Linked DNA regions of Arabidopsis thaliana. The protein of the gene in region 1 interacts with the protein of each later gene in a pairwise test. Each region holds a gene or a part of one and is shown on either strand. Other genes may lie near its edges. The genes, in order: AT4G15545 and DDL.

Evidence for each region.
Region 2: the proteins of AT4G15545 (region 1) and DDL interact in a two-hybrid assay, tested with the Arabidopsis thaliana proteins (one large-scale study listed by BioGRID).

What each region holds. Positions count from the first base shown.
Region 1 is NC_003075.7:8,873,942-8,878,404, forward strand, and holds AT4G15545 (PH-response transcription factor), read left to right. Parts: upstream 1-1,714; 5' UTR 1,715-1,990; coding exon 1,991-2,302; intron 2,303-2,389; coding exon 2,390-2,458; intron 2,459-2,558; coding exon 2,559-2,612; intron 2,613-2,701; coding exon 2,702-2,741; intron 2,742-2,827; coding exon 2,828-2,926; intron 2,927-3,008; coding exon 3,009-3,233; intron 3,234-3,315; coding exon 3,316-3,437; intron 3,438-3,533; coding exon 3,534-3,626; 3' UTR 3,627-3,858; downstream 3,859-4,463. Other genes in the region: UMAMIT38 (EamA-like transporter family), read left to right, coding at 197-407, 506-664, 732-883, 1,110-1,245; IAGLU (indole-3-acetate beta-D-glucosyltransferase), read right to left, coding at 3,936-4,463.
Region 2 is NC_003074.8:7,173,645-7,179,833, forward strand, and holds DDL (SMAD/FHA domain-containing protein), read right to left. Parts: upstream 4,377-6,189; 5' UTR 4,228-4,376; intron 3,991-4,227; 5' UTR 3,957-3,990; coding exon 3,582-3,956; intron 3,122-3,581; coding exon 3,090-3,121; intron 3,011-3,089; coding exon 2,944-3,010; intron 2,833-2,943; coding exon 2,775-2,832; intron 2,423-2,774; coding exon 2,330-2,422; intron 1,808-2,329; coding exon 1,693-1,807; intron 1,579-1,692; coding exon 1,531-1,578; intron 1,440-1,530; coding exon 1,394-1,439; intron 1,306-1,393; coding exon 1,235-1,305; intron 1,091-1,234; coding exon 1,051-1,090; 3' UTR 792-1,050; downstream 1-791. Other genes in the region: AT3G20555 (uncharacterized protein), read right to left, coding at 4,556-4,747, 4,830-4,970. UniProt on the Arabidopsis thaliana protein: Involved in the microRNA (miRNA) and short interfering RNA (siRNA) biogenesis. May facilitate DCL1 to access or recognize primary miRNAs. Binds RNA non-specifically.

The DNA.
Region 1 (4,463 bases):
TTCTCCTAAACCGGGTGATTCCAATCTTAACCATACAAAAGATATGATTTTCACACAGTAACAGTCAATATGAAATGATATTTTTGTCTGTGAATTATGGAGTAGTTGTATAAGTATGAGAAATGTTGGATAGATATGAGGTTTGTTTGTAACTCTAACTTTGATGACTTGTTCTGCTTCCTTGGGTGACTTAAAGGATGGAACAAGTAATGTTAAGAAGCTCTGCAACTCAGGCTAAAATCATTGGCACAATAGTTTCTATATCTGGTGCTCTGGTTATTGTTCTGTATAAAGGCCCAAAACTTCTTGTTGCTGCATCGTTTACTTCATTCGAGTCAAGTTGGATAATTGGAGGCCTTTTGCTCGGTCTGCAGTTTTTGCTTCTTTCAGTCTGGTTTATTCTTCAGGTAGTACATACACTTGGAACAGATTCATGAAAGAGATTTTTGGATTTGTTGGTGACGCATAAGATTGAGCTAAATTTGTCACTTCCACATGATTTTAGACTCATATCATGGAGATATACCCTGAAGAAATAGCCGTAGTCTTCTGCTACAACTTATGCGCAACTCTAATCTCAGGGACAGTATGTCTACTTGTAGAAAAAGACTTGAATTCTTGGCAGCTTAAACCAGGTTTCTCCCTCGCTTCAGTCATATACTCGGTAAGTAATCAAACCTCATAAGTTGAGAAATCAAATCTTTAGCTCAGAAACTAATACTCTGTTTCAGGGACTCTTTGATACATCATTGGGCTCAGTTATCCACACATGGGGTCTCCATGTGAAGGGTCCAGTCTACATATCCTTGTTCAAGCCGCTGTCTATCGCAATTGCAGTCGCCATGGCTGCTATATTCCTCGGCGACACACTTCATCTTGGGAGGTACCATCTTATTACCTTCAACTTTATAATGTCTCTTTCTTAAAGAAACATAGTGATGATAACTTAGTTCTAGGTGTTTGAAATGTTTAGTTTCATCTTCAAATACATAATGAATAATAAAATGTGAAGACAGTAACAACTAACAATCGATATAGATTTTCGGTTGTTAGGTAATAAGATTTACATGATTGGTACATATAAATTTGCATCTATGTGTTGTGGGCAGTGTGATTGGATCAGTGATATTGAGCTTTGGGTTTTACACTGTGATTTGGGGCAAAGCAAGAGAGGATTCAACCAAAACAGTAAGTGATTCTGAGCAATCACTTTTATTGCCTTCACACGACAGAGAAGAAGATTGAAACCTTGTCATGAAAATATGTTGGAGACAAGTGTAATCGTTTTCTTATTTTATTCATAATTATGGTCCCATTAGATGATGATGATCCCTATTTATCTTGTAAGTTGTAAGATCTTATGACTTGTACAAAAAAAATCTAACATGATACATTGAAATGTGAAAAATGATATACTTATTTGTTGAGAAAATGATAATATTTCTTATAGTATAAGGAATTTATTTACTTTTCTAGGGGGTAAAATCCAGCTATGTCCGGATTTTCGGTTTGTTTGCAATTTGAATCCGGTTTTGTATCCAGTTTGACGTTTGGAATTGGATACAATGTATTTGTCTCCTCTTATGTGTCCAATGAATTATAGTCCTATCCATTCATAGAACAAAAACTTGGCTTACCCAATTCAATACCACACATTATGTCATATCACTTCACACAAAAAGACAAACCATACGTGACCACATTTCTCTTTATCCACACACATTCACGTCTATCAATTCAATCATATCAACATTACATAACCGAACCGGTATCAATCCCAAACCGGAATTGTATTTCCCATAACACAATAGAATTTAGCGTTGACATAATGAAGCTTTTTGTAATAATACAGTCTCAATCGATGAATATTGATATGTAAAATCAAGAAATTGTTTGGTTTAGACTCAAATTTCGGTTTAATACTAATACCGGGTTATACCGTAACCGTATATGAACTCATAAGGTACAAAAAAAACACAGAAAACGAGAAATGTCAGAGATAGAAGAAGAAGAAGAAGAAGGATCAGCAAGTGCAATTACAGGTTCGAGAAGTTTCGATCTTCCCGATGAACTTCTTCAAGTTCTACCGTCCGATCCATTCGAGCAGCTAGATGTAGCTCGCAAAATCACATCCATTGCTCTCTCGACACGTGTCTCAGCTCTCGAATCAGAGTCGTCGGATCTCCGGGAACTTCTCGCCGAGAAAGAAAAAGAATTTGAAGAACTCCAGTCTCACGTTGAGTCTCTCGAGGCTTCTCTTTCCGATGCGTTTCATAAGCTTTCTCTCGCTGATGGTGAAAAGGTCCGACCCGACCCGGTTTTTGACTTTATTTGTTCTGTTTTGACCCGATTCATTTTTACTGATTTTGATCTAATTATCTTCTTCCAGGAGAATCTGATAAGAGAAAATGCTTCTTTGTCTAATACTGTCAAGAGACTTCAGAGAGATGTCTCAAAGGTAATTTTGACTCTGTTTCAAATTTGACGTCAGGTCTCTTTGTTTCTAAATTTGGAAGTAGCTGAGATTTTAGGGTTTTTGTTTCTAAATTTGTGTGCAGCTTGAGGGTTTTAGGAAGACGCTTATGATGTCTCTTCAAGATGATGACCAAAATGTATGAAACTTATACTCTTCATGTTCTCTAATTTGCTTTGAAGTAACAAATTCATGATCTTGAATTGATTGTGTTTGGTTTTGTAACAGGCAGGAACAACGCAAATCATCGCTAAGCCGACACCAAACGGTATAGTTCTTGTGAAGATTTTAGTGAAAACTTGTGTTCATATACCAAAATGGATGGTTCTTATTGTGGTTTATTGTCATTTTCAGATGATGATACTCCATTTCAACCTTCAAGACATTCATCAATCCAATCTCAACAAGCTTCTGAAGCCATTGAACCAGCTGCAACTGACAACGAAAACGATGGTATAGTACTTGCTTGCTCTCAACGCTTAAGCCACTAACCTTTTGTGTTTAATGCGTTAGTTTGTTTTGTGTTATATCGTAGCTCCTAAACCAAGTTTATCAGCTAGTCTTCCGTTAGTATCACAAACTACTACGCCACGGCTTACTCCTCCTGGTTCTCCACCAATCTTATCTGCTTCTGGTACACCGAAAACAACTTCGAGACCTATCTCTCCTCGACGCCATTCTGTATCGTTCGCTACCACTAGAGGCATGTTTGATGATACTAGATCTTCTATTTCAATCTCAGAGCCTGGTTCACAAACTGGTAAGTTCAAACCAAGATTTTCTTGTGGCGGGTTTTGGAACAACACCTTTATTTACGGTTTGTTTGTTATCTTCGTTTTCAGCGAGAACTCGGGTTGATGGAAAAGAGTTCTTTCGACAAGTCAGGAGCCGATTATCTTACGAGCAATTTGGTGCATTTCTTGGAAATGTGAAGGATCTTAACGCCCACAAGCAAACAAGAGAAGTAAGGAGAATCCTCTCTCAATCATCTTTACCCTCTTTCGATTCAAAACTTGGATTCTGATTCGACCTGCAATGTCTTTTCTTCTTTGTTTTCTAGGAAACACTTAGGAAAGCTGAAGAGATATTTGGAGGCGATAACAGAGATCTCTACGTCATATTCGAGGGCTTGATCACACGCAACGCTCACTAAGAGTTTGGCTTCTTCAGTTACACAAAGAACTTATATACTCGGAAACTCAGGATTCATCAGTCTGCAACATTCAATTTCTTTTGTTTCCTTGGCTGTCAAGTAAGACCAAGTAAAACTGACAATTTGATTGTATCATTTGTGCTCTCTCGTGTATCTATCTATCTCTCTCTTCTTGAATAAATTACATTTCATCATCTTCAAAACTAACCAATCAACATCCAAAATACTGTCTACTGTATTGTGTAAACATTGAAACAGAGCAAGGAAGAACAGAAAAGCGGAGTGTTGTTATAATTTCTGATACCAAAATCACATGTGCTCATCGACAAAAGCTTTGAGATGATTAAAGGAAGAGCCTCCTTCTCTCACAGCCTCCGCCGCTAAATCCTTCCACCTCGTGGCATTTCCTCTAAACTCCTCCGCCTTGTCTTCCATAACTTCCTCAATGCACCGCCGTATCTCCTCACTATCCACCACCACAACTCCTTCTTCTTCCTTCTTCTCCATCACTCTTACACCTGTTTTCCAACAATCTTCTAAAAGCTTCGCGTTCATCATCTGATCATTCCATTGCGGAAACGCCACCACCGGAACTCCTGAAACCAAGCTCTCCAGCGTAGAGTTCCACCCGCAATGCGTCACGAAACAACCTATCGATCTATGATTCAAAACCCTAAACTGATCACACCATGAAACCACCATTCCTATCTCATCGAGCTCTTCTCTGAAACTACTTATGCAATCTTCTTCCTTCTCTTGCTCATCTTCTTTATTTCTGTACGACTTATCCGTAATCACCCACAAGAATGGTCTCCGACTTTGTATCAACGCTTTACA
Region 2 (6,189 bases), on another chromosome or scaffold:
CTTCGAGGCAGTATCATGGCTTCCATTTCACCATGCATAGCTCTTCTGCGAGTTTATTCTCCTCTACCACCAAACTCAACAACACTTCTTCTACCCCACTTAGCCTCTCCTCTCGGTTTCTTGGAACTAGGGTTGTGAATCTCGGGATCAGACTTATCCGACTCGGACCCTCCAATAGGTCAGAGCCACTGCCTCGTTTAAGTTCGGAAAGAACGGCGTCGATGCTGAGAATGCTGGAATCTATGGCAGCCAGTCACGTGATGATTTTGACAGAGACGACGTCGAACAGGTTCGTGTTCACTTCAAGCTTCTAGAGTCAAATATGTCAATCTTTGTTTTGTTACAAGGGCGCTTATAAAAGCTTCCGTACGTGGTTGTGTCTGAGTTTGTGAATGAAGAAAACAGAGGAAATGTTAGATTTATTATTGTCGTTTCTGTGTTATTTGCAGTATTTTAACTACATGGGGATACTTGCGGTGGAAGGTACCTAAGATAAGATGCACCATGTCGACATCCTTTTAATGCTAGCAGTCTCGGAGGGAGACAAGCCTAAAATTGAAGAGCTTCTCAAACGCTGACTACACGGTTAAGGATGCTGACGGCAGAACCACTCTTGACTGAGCAAGCAGGGAGGAGATCCGTGACTTGATCCTTGAATCCCTCACTAAAGGCTTGACAAATAAGTAGTTTTCAATCGCAGAGTTAGCTTTATCTTACTAAGAAAGTGATGTCCGTTTTGGTAACTCTAGTTGAAATCTCAGTCGTCTCCATGTTTCTACGTTAAGTTAGGTCGAAACCCTCAGGGAGCGACAATTTTAAAGTAGAGATTGATCTTATACAGTTATACCAAAAGTTAACCTTTTTCTCTTACCAATCGTTCATCATCATTTATTATATAACAAGCAAGCAAAAGATTTCTAAATGATGTCTGAGATTATCACCAGCACGGTAGAAAGCATACATGAAGCAGCTCAAACATCTCTAAAAACCCTGAGAAACGCAACTATCTAATCTTGTGATTTACTCGTTTCTGCTTGACTCTGATTTCATTCACTCGGCAGAATTCTCGTGCAACAGTACGTACTCTCGGCTGCAACCAAAAGAACAAAACATGTCAAGAACAGAAGAAAGTAGATGTTAACTGCACAGCAAGCAAAGATTAATCACAGAGAATAGGCACGGGGTATGATTCATAATGGGAAACCAGAACTAGAATGTGTCTTCATTAGAATACCTGCTGTTGCCAAACTTTATGGTGTCTTTCTCAAAAAGCTCATAATATCTTTGTGGCTCAATGGGACTTTCCTGAAAAAGTAAAAGAAGTTCTAATCACAAACGTTTGAATTAACCATGATAAAGAAGCACATAAGAAGGAATGTAATTGAGCACTTACATTGATATAAGTTTTGTTGGTACTACCAAGATCCATTATGTAAGGCCTGGAAAGTGACATTAAGGGAAATTAAAATTTAGCTTAAAGCCAGAAGAGGTACAAATTTTAAGCAAAATGAAAGAGCAGATAGGTTTTACTTCACTTGCTTCCCCATCATACCATCTGGTTTCTCCTTTTCCATTTCCCTGAGAAAAGCACATTCACAGTGACATAAATATTAAACTAAAAACCTTATTCTCATTAAATCTATTGTCATAGATATTACTACTTAAAAGGAGAAATACATGTCAGAACCCTACCGGTACTGAATGACAGCATGCTGCTTGCTGCAAGATGGGTGATCCGTAGGAATGTCGGCAATCCTTCTTTCACGTCCAAAGAGGTAGCAGCTTTGGCGGTGAAGGCAGAGTGGCTCTGTTAGTCCAACACATTTCACATGCACAGAAACATACATCAAGAAAACTGATTCAGGGCATTCAGAATTATTAAGCAAACAGAAATGGGAAACAAAATGTAAAATCTTATATACAATGTTCAGGGGTTCAAAGTAAGAATGACACGGGAAGCCACAGTCACAAACATATCAGATCAAAGGAGCTATTTTTCCTCTAAGAGTCATTAACATTCATAATAAGATTCATTCTAAGAAAATTGACAAGTTCTAAGAAGTATCAAGCTATAGTTTGGCTACTATCGGTAATCACGCTGTTATCTGGACACTAAACCATCAATGACCACAGTTTTCAAGTTTACATGGCTAGAGTGCATCAAAATTTCTTGAGTATCTCTTTCATTGCCACTACATGCTTTACTGCATATTTTGTGGACAAAAAATTGACGTTCACCACAGTAAGATAGTTAAGTGAAATACATAGAAGACAAATGAACCACTACTTAGACAGATGGATAGAGATGTGGAAGACGTCAAAGACTCACCATTCAGTGGTTCACCATCCTTAAAAACATACAGTCTCCATCGTTCGCTGGGTTTTCTAGCCTCTGGGGGCTCATTGAAGAGGAGTGTGATACCTGCAAAGGATTCACTCAGTCAAGGAAGCTAAGCATGCCTATGGTGAAATTTAATGCGAGAAACCACCGTCTCCATTCCTAGGAGCAAAAGCGGATTGGCAGTCAAAAGATATCTGCTGATAGCAGATGCTTATATATTGAAGCTTCTAGTCTCATTAGATATTGACCAAAGAAAGCTTTTACCCAGTGACAGACACGTACGCATACAAAATTAAGTAAATATGACCTGACAACAAAGGCAGATGTTTCGCAGTTCAAACATGCAATGAAAACACTATGGCAAAAGTTTCTAGCACAAGGTAATGGTAACAGGTGATATTCTTAAATGAAATGGACGGATCAGAAGTTTCACCTCTGTATCTGTTAGTTTCTTCAGCAAGTTTCCCTGATAGCTCAAATGATGGTTCTTCCTACAAGATATATCAAAATTAGATTTGAAGCGTTAGCATTTATGCATGGATGAGCTAAGCGAGCTCAAAATGACATTGGAAATTGAAAATCAATAGGGCTTGATATAATACCTTTTTCTTCGCTGCCAGAGCCTCTTCAACTGCTCTCATTCTCGCGACTGAATCTTCCTCGACATTTCTGTTAACGAAAACCCATAACATGGTTAAAAGAAAGACTGAAAAATTGTAACGGCTAATCTAATAAGAAGAAAACTCACGGCTCCTCGCTGCCCCCTCTTGCATTAGACCCCTGAAAAGACAAAAGGCGATAAAAATGACTGAAGAAGTAACAAAAATCTGTGGCTCGCAGAAAATGATAATTTGCAGAAAGCAACCATAATCTATATAATGAGCTTTTACTAAAAAGAGAGAAACATGAGAAGTGATGTTACTGGACATGCTGAAGGGAAACAAAGAGACTATCTTTCTTAAGTCCTTTAGCAACAGAGTAAGCAAAAAATGGCTGGCTGCAGGTTCTAGTTATAGACTCACGAGATGGATAAGCTAGATTACAGGATTCCAATTATTTATTATGTGACGAAACAAGCAGCAGAGGCTAACCTTTTCTAGCATACATCAGAGCTAAACAATTTCAATCACATTTATCTTTTCAAGCAGAATACGAATATGCACAAGTAAAACCCAAAACAAAAAAAAAAACACTTCTGAGATTAAGAACATATCCAAGCTAAAGAAAGAAGCAGAAATACCTCATCATGCCTTGAGGCAATAGCTCTTTCAGGTGAACGCCTACTACTCCTGTGACTCCTATCTGACGGTGAAGTAGACCTCTCATGTCTTCCTCTAGAGTATCTCTCATCATCTGTTCTTGTCCTTCTCCTTTTTTCAGTATCCTCTCTCCCTGATCGTCTTCTCTTATCCCCAACTTCCCTATCTCTTTCTCCTTCTCCTTTTCTCTCCCTATCCCTATCTCTTCCTATATCTCTATCCCTTTCCCTACTGTTTCTCTTCTCCCTTTCTCTACCATCATCTTCTCTCTCTCTACTTCTCCCAATTTCCTTCTCTCCTCGAGCTCTTCTCAGTCTCTTCGTACGTGGTGAAGGAGACCTAGAACTAGGAGCCATTATTGGAGTCAGGGTCGTTTTCTCTCTTCTTTGCCTTTGGAAAGATCACAAATTGAAACCAGGGTCAGAAGGAAAAGGCATGTGAGCTCCAGATAACACAGTAAACCCTAATTCCCAAATGCATAGAAACTAGAAATGGAGCAAAAGCCCTAAACCAAAAAACGTAAGCTACAGATTTCAAATACTAAATTCAGAAGTTCCGGGCATAGTCTAGGGTTGCAAGAATCGTTAAGAGAAAAAATCGCTGCATAACGAGAAAGAAAAATTTTACCTGGTGGCCGGAACTGTGACTACTTCGGCGGAGAGAAGAGGAGAGAGTGAATAATAATAATCGCAGAGATAAAAAGAATCAGAGCCAAAACGAGAAGAATCATTTATTTGGCCTCTTTTGCAAATAAATGGAAACTGAGGGGTTCAATATCAAACAAATTGTAGACGGTATGGTAAAACTTCCATTAGTTGACACGTGTCATATCTTGTTTGGTAGAAAGGATATGTATAATTAGGGCAGAAGCCGCTTGTAACGTCGTACCCTTGTACTTCCTTCGAGATTTTTGTTTCTTCGTCCTAGTTTGCAACAAAGATTTTATAATTGATCATCAAACAAATCGGTGAGCCTGTAACAAATCGAGTGCACCAGCTTTACCACCAACTTTGATAGGATAGAAGACAAATACAAGATCATAGATATAGTTGAGGTGGATAGCTAAACGACATAAACCATCAGAAGTGACAGTGATCTTGTTCTGATTGTAACAGAGTGCACCAGGTTTACCACCAACTTTGATCCTCTCATGAAGGAACTTGTGGAGAGAAATTTTCAACTTCGAGGAACATATGTCCTGAAATCCCATCTGTAGTTCTCCTTACTACCGATTTGTAGTCGCAACTGTTGGCCTTGAAGCTTATGTGGAAGACAGCATTCATAGACTCGAGCTTTAGAGACGGGTCAGTATGAGTTTCTCGGGTGATGCTTTGGTTTGTCGGGTGATGGCTCATCGAATCCCAAATCATGTCTCCTTGTTTATTTGATGTATCTTTAGTTTCATGTATATACTAGTGTACGCCAATATTATAGACGATTAAAAACTAATTCTTGTTTACGTATGAACAAAACGATATGTACTTTGTCATTATTATATTTTTTGTCAAAGATTGAGAATATTTATTTTTTTCGCATCATAGACACACAAACAAATGTTGTCTAATGATCTACCAGCCGGCTTGTATATCTAATTCAAATATCGGTCATGCATCATGCACTTCATTAGTATCTTATGTTTTGCAAAATACTGGCTAGACTGTCACATATATCAGAATCGGTCACCGTCACCTTCTTCGTTATTGTCATACGGTTTCACTATGACAAAGTCCAAATTAGGTCAAATTTTAAGCGAACATACGTAGCCTCTTACGTCATAGATTGCTGATGAAAAAGAGGCAAATTATTATAACAACCATCAAAGATTCGGTACTAACTTTACAAATTCACACAATTCGTATCTCACAATCTAAAAGTGCAATATGTCGTACATGTTTTGTAAGCTAGACAATAGTAAAATAATTATCCTGCCGGACTATAAAGGTTCGAGAACGTGGACCGACTATATTTATATATCAATTAGCTATTTGTGGTGTTAGCCTAATGTTGCCTTCATCACGTTTTCTGTTTTTTTGTTGAAGGATTTTCAAATAGATGAATTGACTATCATCACCTTGTCACGTTATAAACCATATATATTATCGTTAAACACTTAGTAGCAGTTCCCCACGAATTACATGTCTCCATCATTGACAAATTTATATTTTTGTTTGTAAGAACACTTTTTCCTTCCTCAACAAATTCTTGTACTTAATACAGATATATACTTATAAATGTTACATCAAACGCTAGATAACGGAGAATATAAGCTAAAATGAAATTAATATATCTTGTTTCAGCTTCTATCGAAATTATTTTCATTAATGGACAATATAAAATTTGATCCTTATCTACTGTTTCTGTGAATTTGTGATTATCATCAGGCAAATGTATCATTAGGCAAATGTTTTTATCTAAATTAACACTTTTATTGGAAAACTACCAAAATACATTTAGGTTCACCCATCAAAAGTACTTTATGTTGTTATGTTATATATTGTGTGCTAACTAAAAAGATTACAATTTAGCAAATCTCAAGTTGATGTGTACATTTATAATCTCCACTACAACAAGAAGGTGATCCACTTCTCT